2 linked regions of the Caenorhabditis elegans genome follow. The protein of the gene in region 1 purifies or fractionates together with the protein of each later gene. This does not show direct contact. Each region holds a gene or a part of one and is shown on either strand. Other genes may lie near its edges.

What was found. Proteins that work in one complex are often made in the same cells at the same time.
Region 2: the proteins of C44E4.5 (region 1) and ZC21.8 fractionate together in Caenorhabditis elegans (co-fractionation; one large-scale study listed by BioGRID). This does not show direct contact.

What each region holds. Positions count from the first base shown.
Region 1 is NC_003279.8:4,603,944-4,610,764, reverse strand, and holds C44E4.5 (NudC domain-containing protein 1), read right to left. Parts: upstream 5,111-6,821; 5' UTR 5,077-5,110; coding exon 4,965-5,076; intron 4,915-4,964; coding exon 4,748-4,914; intron 4,652-4,747; coding exon 4,333-4,651; intron 4,282-4,332; coding exon 4,214-4,281; intron 3,732-4,213; coding exon 3,641-3,731; intron 2,053-3,640; coding exon 1,848-2,052; intron 1,487-1,847; coding exon 1,267-1,486; intron 1,134-1,266; coding exon 860-1,133; intron 813-859; coding exon 652-812; 3' UTR 544-651; downstream 1-543. Other genes in the region: ubr-4 (UBR-type domain-containing protein), read left to right, coding at 1-258, 309-497; D1007.8 (Nucleic acid-binding, OB-fold protein), read right to left, coding at 5,488-5,865, 5,913-6,098, 6,147-6,362; eaf-1 (Ell-associated factor Eaf), read right to left, coding at 6,709-6,821.
Region 2 is NC_003281.10:8,518,379-8,521,511, forward strand, and holds ZC21.8 (uncharacterized protein), read right to left. Parts: upstream 1,609-3,133; 5' UTR 1,568-1,608; coding exon 1,475-1,567; intron 1,141-1,474; coding exon 1,044-1,140; intron 1,000-1,043; coding exon 884-999; intron 757-883; coding exon 664-756; intron 621-663; coding exon 582-620; 3' UTR 526-581; downstream 1-525. Other genes in the region: GTPase-activating protein pac-1, read left to right, coding at 1-27.

The sequences.
Region 1 (6,821 bases):
TATCTTGCAATTCTTCATCTTCTTGGAATCACTCTTCCAGCCGACGCAGAACTTGAAATCTCTGCTCCGAATCATCGTCTCATTGCGTTCCTCTTCACCGAGCTAACTGCTGATAGTTGGAATGATCAGAGGAATGATGTACTCCGAGCAGGAATTAATGATGCTCAGACAAATGGAGCACCCGCCACGTGGGATGGATTCAAGCCAACACTAATGACATGGGCATTTGTAGATGCATATTTCAATAAGGTTATCAAGGTGAGAAGACCTGTGATCTATTATGGTTTCTTATTTATACATCTATTCAGATTACTGGAGAGGATCGTCTCGAATGGCTCCGTGAGCATCTTGTAGAGACTATCAACAAGACACGTGGATTCGTGGATGACTTTGACTCAAATATTCTCCCATGTGAAGATGTTGCAGAATTCTGCGATGTAACTGGAGCTCCGATTGACGATGTCAACTTGTTCCTGGCAGGAGGACCACCGCAATAGTTTATTATTTTGTATTCAACTTTTTAAAAAGTCATGTTTGATGTTCTTCAGCGATAAATATTTTATGTTCTTTGTGAAGAGAGTTCAAGAGTTTTTAATAAATAAAATATTTAATCAACCAGGAACCGTTTAGATACTTTAACAAGAAAATACATTAGAGATTTAGCTCTGCCACGTGAATATGCGATTTTGTGGCGGCGAAAAGATGGGTATCGGTAAGCTGGACTCCACGAATCGGATCAGAGCACTCGACGCGGAGCAAGTGTTGTTTTGAAACGTGGCTCACTGTTTGCGATGTTTTTCGATTGCTCAGACCTGAAAAAAATTACATACATACATTTAAATTTTGACAGAAAACTTACTTCCAGAAACTTCAACTTTTTGCGAGTAAAGCAGAACTCGATTATTTCCTTCTACAATACACGCCAAAGACTTGTTTGGTGAGCATCCGGACCAGAGACGGCTTGTCTTCGAAGCTTGAACGTATCCAAAAGCTTGAAGAGTTGCCACGTGGCTGGGTGCAGATTCGTCGAAAGACCACAGAAGACCGTCAACGTCGTGACGAAGACAAATGAGAGCAGGAGAGGTGGAGGATTGACGTGATGTAAAAAGAACCTGACTTCCAGAAACATCGCACTGAAATTCAGTTGATTCAAAAAGAAAGATATCTAGAAATTATTTTTTTGGATTTCTTAGATTCTTGAATAAAATTTTCTAGAAAATCATTAGTTTCTCACAAAATTTTCTTTAAAAAATGGTTGGCAAATACCTGTTTCAAAACTTTTCCAGACTCCTGATCAACCCAATAAAAAGCCATAGATCCTTCAGTCTCATCACATTCTTCCATTGGCTCATCACTTTCAATTACTTGTTCTCCTTTCATTGTTCTCTTGATTTCTGAATCTTCCAATGATTTCAGAGTATCATATTCCACAGAAATCAGCTTCTCCCATTTCTTATCATCGATTGACTTTAGTTTCAGTTTCAATCTGTAATGTATTTATTGAAATTTATGTGCTCATTTTGGCAATTTAACAAAATTTTGGCAGTATATGAATATGAATATGTTGAAAACTTCAGCCAAAAATTGGAGAATACTTCTTTTTATAAAAAATTTTCTTAAATTTGGCAAAAAAATTTTCTGCTACTAATTTTTTAAATATCAATTTCCAAAAAAAATTGAATTTTTTTTAAATTTTGAAAACTTGATAAAATGCTTGGTCATATACCAAAACTTTGGCACATTATCAAATTTTTGGCCGAAAATTTTTAAAAAAATCTGAAATCTGAAGTCTTTCTAAATAGCTCATTTTGAGTTATTTTTTCACTCTTAATATCAAAAAAACTGACGAATTCGTCTTTTGATCCGCACAAATTTCCACATCATTTTCATCAATTTCTCCACTAAGTTTTCCACTGAGAAGGGTCAGATCTTTGACAATCAAACGAATTCCTGTTTTGGTTGTGTCGATTTTAACGTCTTCTTTTGAAATTTCAGATTTCAATTTGAATGCCACTTGGATAATATTCCCAGTTTGTTCCCATGAATGTTCCACTGAAAATTCAGAAAATTAATTTTTTGCAATCCAGAAATGCTTTTTTGGTCGGAAAAAAGCGAAATTTGCGCGCCAAAAATACGGTACCCGGTCTCGACACGATAATTATTTGTTAGATAGAAACGGGTGTGCGCCTTTAAAGAGTACTGTAATCTCTCATTGCTGTGGAATTTTAAATTTATGTGCTTATTGTGTTATTCACCGTTTGAAATAAAAATTAACAACATTTTTTTTTATCGAAACATTTTTTTAAAAAGTTCGAAAATATAGTACTCTTTAAAGGCACATGCCTTTCCTCAATAACAAAAATTGTCGTGTCGATACCGGATACCGTACTTGTAGCGCAAAAATTGCTGCATTTCGCGGAAAACCCTCCATTCAGGCGCGTTAGCAAATTATGGATATAGGAAACAAACTGCGGAGCCCAGCTCTCATGGAAGAAGCCAAATTGTTTTTCAGATCACATTTTCAGAAAGCCAAGAAGCACAACATATTTTTTTCTATTCATCGATTTATTGGATACATGTGATATTCGGTCATAAATCACTTAGACCATATAAATACAATATAATTTTAGAATAGATTTTAAATATAATAAAAAGGGTAAAACTTGAACATCTATGTATACTAACAATGAAGGTTAAAATTATCTATTGAGCTCCATCTCTCTTCTACTTTCCTGATACTTCAGACAATAGATCTTCTCGAAAGCCACCTTGCTCAGCGAATCAAAGGTTGCTCCGTCGTCCTCCATGAGCTTCTTCGTTACTTTGCGCCCGATCACATCCGGTAATGCGTCGATGAAATCCAAAAAGTGTAAATAGCTGTCCACACCATAGTTGTATCTCGCGTGCGATTGAACAATACTTGATCAAGGCAGTTTCCATTTGAGAATAATCATTTTCATCGAACTTGATGCGCTCCAGCATTTCACTATGAAGTCTCATTTGGAATCCTGGTCGATTGAAAGTCCATTCCAAATTCTCAAGTGTCAATTTGTAGCCCATCTCCATGATATTCGATGTCACAATAAATTGCTTGGCATCCCCTGTGAGAGCATTAACCAGAGCCACATTCTTCATGTTGATTTCCAGAAAATGGTTATTGTGCACCAAGTAGTCGAAGGTACTCTTGAATAACAGATAATTCGAAGCATCTCCGTCGAATGGAGTGATTAACTGCTTGATATCAACTAGATATCTAGACTGCTCCTCGATTGTAGGCTTCGGCTTGGATTGTCCAGATGTCGCTGAATGAACTTCCATTTCGTGCTTCATAGCGCCGTCTTCCGAATGTTTCATTCCAGAGATATTCAACATTGTAGAGAAATTGGGGCTTTGAGTGGAGCTCGCGTCGAACCAATGGAAAGAATGAATGACTTTTAGCCACACAATTGGGAATGGATGAGAAAACAAAAAAACAAGGAACATTTTTGGCGGGGAAAATTTAAAAAAATCGGTAGAACAAATTTGAAAAGAAAATGGTAGATCAAAAATAATTATGTTGTTCTTTTTTTTCAAAATTTCAAAGTAGTATTGCAACAAATTATTTTTTTATTATTTTTATTTATTTAAATTTGAAAAAAACCTTTTTCTTCCATATCTTCCTGTTGCCCTTCCACGTGGGGTTTTTCGCTCGATAGAAATATTATTTCGCCGTTATTTGTGAATGTACAAGTCTGGAAAAATAAATTTAAGGTTAGGATATTACACACGAAAGGTTGCACCAAAAGTACTGTACCGGGTCTCAACACGATAAAACAAAATATTAGAAGGTGCACCTTTAAAGATTACTGTATTCTATAACTTTATTTTATAATAGTTTCTCTCACGAATTGCTGAAATTTATGTGTTGTAACTTGTTGTATTTTAGTTTTTTAAAGAAAATATACATTTTTAACGAAAATTATTTACAAAATCGATAAAAATTCGAATTTTCATCAATTTTCTAAATAGTTTTTCGTTAAAAAATATATATTTATTAAACAACTAGAATAAAACAATTAAAACACACAAATTATAAAAATAAACTATTAAAAATAAGTTTGAATCTACAGTACTCTTTAAAGGCGCGCGCCAGTTTTTACTTCACAGCAAAAGCGTGTCGAGACCGGATACATTGCAAAATTTTGCACCTCGCTGATATTTTCAAAAAATTAACCTCAAAGTGTCCATTTTGAATTAAATCCATTGATTTCTCAACTGTAAGGCTATCAGCATAGTCTATATCTGGAAAAAAAGAAGGAAATTTTTTACTTTTCAAAATTTAATTATACAAACCATCCAAATTAATACGAATCGAGTGAATTCTGCTTCTGGTCTTTTTGGAATCATCACTTTCCACGTGATATGCCAAAATATTAAGTTTTCCATTTAAAATTCGAGCTTCAATCAGTGAAAGACCTTGCTCTGAAACCTTATGCTCCAGCATTTTAACCCAATTTGAGTCAGAGACAGCCAGGAAAACTGTAATTTCAGAAATTCCATTGCAAGCGACGACCAGATTGTTTTCAGTGAACAAGAGATTAGTAGGAAAAGCGGAAGAGGCATTTGTCCCAACATCAATGGAGCCAACGATCGAGGTATTCCATATTTGGGTCTGAAATTATTTATTTAATTTTTTGAAAAGAAACAATTAAGTTTATTCGTTAAGTATTTTTGAAGCGAAACCCTCATTCACAGTAAAATTATGTACCTTTTTCTCATAAACCATTGCCTGAATATGCCCGGTGTCTAAAATACGATACAAAAATTGTTGGGAATCCGTGCATTTCGAATAATCACAAAACAGCTGATTATCATTTGAGAACACTTTCATATGTTGCAGAGTAATCATTTCATTGGATGGAGCACGAAGACATACTGAAAATTATTTTTTGCGAAAAATGGAAAATTTAAATGATTTTTATTACAATTTTGATCCAGGCTTTTGCTCGAAAAGTGCACATTATTCATGGAAACTTTGTATCCTTCAAAGTTAGCATCAATCTTGGAATGATCCACAGGAAGATTGATTGATTGCATTTTAGATTTAATTGGTATAGGGGATTGACCAGGCCTGAAACCATTTTTTTTTCGATGAATTACTAAAAAATCAATTTTTTGGTGAAAAATAGAAGTTTCTTAGTTTCATTTTGCTTATTTCAAGCGTTTTTTATTATAAAATGTTCTACCAATTTCTTTCATTAAAATTTAGTTGTAGAATACTGAAATTTCATTAGAAAGAATATTGGGAAAATGGCAATTACCGTGTGCCGCCGACTGAAGATATGAAAAAAGGTTTAAAACCTTTAAGGGAACATATTAGAAATTGAAATTATTTAAAAAAAAAGAAATAAAAGTTTATAAAACAGATTGTGGAATGAAAGACAAGGCAAGATGTCTATAAGTGAAAATTGAACACGATAAAATAAAATTAAGCTGAATATTATAAATTCAGGCGTTTTCGAAGGAATCATATTCTGGTTCCGGCTCCTCTTTTGGCTTCTCCTTTCGAGCCATTGGCACAAGGCTCACTGGTCCTTTATCAAATGAATCTTCCTCATCATCTTCTTCTTCTTCCTCCTCATCCTCTTCATCCGAATCATCACTGCTATCCTCAGATACATCTGATTCTTCTTTAACAAGTCCACTTGTCGATATTCCTGCTGCCAATTGTTCAATTTCCGTTGGCCACACTCCCATATTATTTTCGCAAGAAGATGATTGTTCCAGCATTCCCATTGGGAACCGATTCAAACTTCCCACTTTGTTCTTCAAACCGAAACGAGTAGGAACATTGGTGCTGGCGCCTGCTGGCAAGATAGGTGTGTGCTGGAAAATGGGCAATTATTGGCTTTTAAAAATTCACTGAAACTTGCCTTTTTATAGAACTTCTCTGAAAAACGGCAGATTATTTGAAAAGCGGCGAATTGTTCATCTGAAGCTTTGTGCATCGAAAATGCGTTCAAAAACTTCTTTCCATTCTCCAAAATTCGAACTTTTCCGAATACTTCAACACGGTCCCCGACGTTGAACTTCTTGGCAGATTCTTCGGTGAAAGAAGCCTGAAATTAATACTTTTTTCCAATGTTACACGATATATTCAGACTAACGGTGAGGATTTTTTGAACCAAAATATTATGATTATCTTTATCAGTAATCATGTATTCTACATCAGAATCTCCGAACTTCACAGATTCGATTACACCCATCACTTGAACGCGAACAACGTCTGCCGTTCCGTACTCGATTCGTTCTTTTGTTGAATTGAATAGCGCTGAAATCGGCATTGGGACGGCATGTTCTGGAATATACCGGTGAGTTTCCATCTGAAATCATGAACAATATGTGAGAAAAACACAGAAATTTGAAGATAAAATCGACGTCTACAAACGACACTGTTTAGCGCAAGAAGCATGCTCTATTGATAAAATGGTTTCAGCGAATTTTAAAAATTTCAGAGAAACTTTAGTTCGACTTTAAAATAGTGCACGGATTAAACAGAAAACCTGAAAAAATAAAACTGTTGAATAGCCTGAATGAAAAAATTTATGATTGCGATAGATAGCCCGGTTTTGAAATAAATAAAAAATCACAGAAGCAAATAACTGCCACCACTAGTACAAGTACACAAGAAAGACGGTTGAATACACTGAATAATATTATGTTTTAAAATTAGTCATCTTCGTCGGAGCTTTCGCTAAGTGCCAATCCATACTTCTCCTCAGAATCTTTGTTTTTATTTCCACTACTTGATATATAGGGAGCCACGTGGCTTTCTTTGTGAT
Region 2 (3,133 bases), on another chromosome or scaffold:
CCGGTGTCTGGCGATGAACTGCTTTAATCGTTTTTCTCTTGATTCTTTCCTTCCCCACCTTAAAACATGTCTCTTCATCTTTCTCTCACACACTTATGATCTACGGGTTCCCATCATCCCCCAATTATATTCACAAAACTTTTCAGAGCTGTCTCTGAAAGTCACCACCTCTTACGAACTTGTGATTTCTTCGGTTTCTTTGAAATTTAAAGAATTCCCCTTTTTTTGTTTCTAGTGAGATCTCCTTCAGAAAAATCTTAAACATATATTTTTCTATTATTGTTAATCCTTTCCATTTCCATGTTCAACCCCTTTTCCTTCATTTTCTTCAGAATATCATCCTTTCGTACCTCCGGTATGGGTTTCTTCTCCTCATTTCTCCATTCATTTCGCATACATATTTCTTTCTTTAACTCTTTTTTCCTTTTTTTCATGTACTTTATATTTCTTTTTTTCTAAATCATACCAACTTCAACTCTTCACGAAAAAAACTTTGACTTTAACAGATGTGTTAACAAAACAAAACAAAGCGTCAAAATTTATAATCTAGAAGAACAGGTTAATTTGTAGCTCAGTGGAGATCAGGTTGTGGTCTTGGTTGTCGACATGGCGGTACTCATCTAAAAGTAATTTTTAGTTTTTAATTTGGAGAATTGAATTTACATAACAGGATTTTCCAGTCTGCTTTTCGTTTGGCGCAAAATATGAAGCTTCACGATCCATTTTTGAGTTCGAAGATGTTTTTGACAGAGTATCCTGAAGATATGTTGAGATTTAATCGCAAGTTGAAAACATTTCGGAAAAAATACGGTACAGTACCACTAAATCCTTGTTTTCAAATAGTTCAGCTTCAAAGGAGCACCCCCTACAGTAACCCACTAACCTTCTTCGGCAATCTTGCCTTTGTCGGAATCTTTGCGAGTGGATTCTCTTCGTCATCATCAAACTCATCCCGCTTTTGCTCCGTGTTTTTGATATTCAAATTGAATTTGACATCATCTGAATATTTTTGAATTTGAATAATCGTGAAACTTCAAACAAACCTTGAGTAGTGTTAGATCTTTTGGCATTCAGATTTGTCCCATTATTGCCACCGCTGCTTTTCGCTGTATTCGTTCCTTTTCCAGATTTTGCCTTTGTCTGAAAATATTTCAAAATTTACCTTTTTTTTTAACCAAAAAGGTCCAATATAAGCAGTTAAAATTGAGTGGATGGAAGCAAGACTAAAGAGAAAATACATTAATTATGAAAGTATTTTCATATATAATTTAAGTTTCTCAACAACCTTTTTTTGGCTTATCATATAATCAAATGCTCCCAAGGTCCCTGCGCGGGAGCTTTTTTAATGACAAGCTTCCCGCAATTATCTGAAAATAGAACTCAAACCGTCCACGCAACGTTTTTAATTTCAAATACCTAGATATTCAAAATATGCAATGCTAAACCTGCAATGCTGAAATTAAGTAAAACTCACACAAATTACCAAAGCCATGCAAAGTCCACTACAAAAAATGATGATGAATTGAAGATACTTGAGTAACATTATTGATTTCAAGATAGCTTCCATTTGGACAGGTGTTTCTTGACTTTTGTAAAAATTGAAATGATTCAAATATGAATTATGAATCAGGGAAGAGGAAAATATATATTTTTTTATTTAAATAAATGTTTTTCTCACGTTTCCAAATTGTTTGAAAAAATATATATATCACGGGGAAATTTTTAAAATTAAATTTCAAATTTGTATTGATAATAGTAGTTGTAGGTCGCATTAAATCTTTGCTATTTAATGCGACCTACAACTACTGATAATTCTATAAAAACTTGAAGTTTTCGGTTATTGTGAAATCATTGTCTACCTGTGCTTATTGCCTACTCGTTCCAACTTTTGTTTATTAAAAATACGATAATATGCAAGAGGCGATTTTAAGAGGCCTTTTTTGTTGGTTTAGGAGACATTCTTTTTATCTGTAATATGTGTTAACAATTCAAAAATTCAATCGTTATACCCCAGACAAAACTTATTCCGTTCGCTTTTTTTTTTAGAAAATAATTGTTATTTGACAGCTCCAGACAAAAAACCACTTTTCCACGTTTCTGTTGACTCAACCCTCGGAACAACAATCGTCGGTTTTTTCCAGGTATTCCCTTTTTCATTCACATGATGTTTCCATTGTCAAACAGTGCATCTCACTCCAACAAATGTGCTCAGTGATCATTTCAAATGTATCTTGTTGGTGGGTGTGAACAACCAAACCCGTGGAATGGAAATCACTTACTCAACTGGGCACATACCAAACACAAATATCTAAACACATTCTTCATCTTCATTTTTTTTCTCATTTCGCAGTTTTGAGTGGTTTTTGAACAGTTTAATGGAAGTTACTTGTGTGTGGACACTTGCGAGAGAGGAATGGCGCGCGCGGGAGGGAGGTCAAACAGAGATCAGTGGTGATAGCCACGTGATAAGCAAATATGAAGTGAAAGATAATGGATTGGCAGCCACGGTATTCGGAACTTTTGCTCTTTTTTTTGCAGAAAAATAGAAACGTCCAAGACTATTTTGCATAATTTTACAGTACGCAGTGTGAATTTCGAAATCTAAAATTATGAACTTGGAATTGGTGAGGGATTTTATTCAAATGTCCAGCCAAAGTTTTGATGAAAAGCCAAACTTTCTAAGATTAGAACATTTTTGAGTAAATTTGAGCACTGCAAATTCGAACCCATACAATGCCTAAATACAAATAATTAAAACATTCCGTATTTTCCCTATTAGACGTACATCCCACTACACTACTTTGAAGGCCTATGTCTTAATTTTTCCTAAAAAATGGTAACAACCAGAATATAGAAAAATATTTTGCCCATATTTTATCAGTTGACAATTGTTTGATAGAAACAAAAACCGAGATATAAACTGTAAAAGTGGAGCCTAAAGTTATGAGTTTTGACAATATTCTTGGCAAAATTTGAATTACATATTTTATCAATAACTTAACTTTTCGTTATATTTTCAGTGAATCTACTATGCAGTTTTTTCAAAACTCTCCATGTTATTCAAATTAACAGTCAAATTTATTCTCCAAACCAAATATATCAATCAAATGTTCTTCGATTCCTATAACATCAG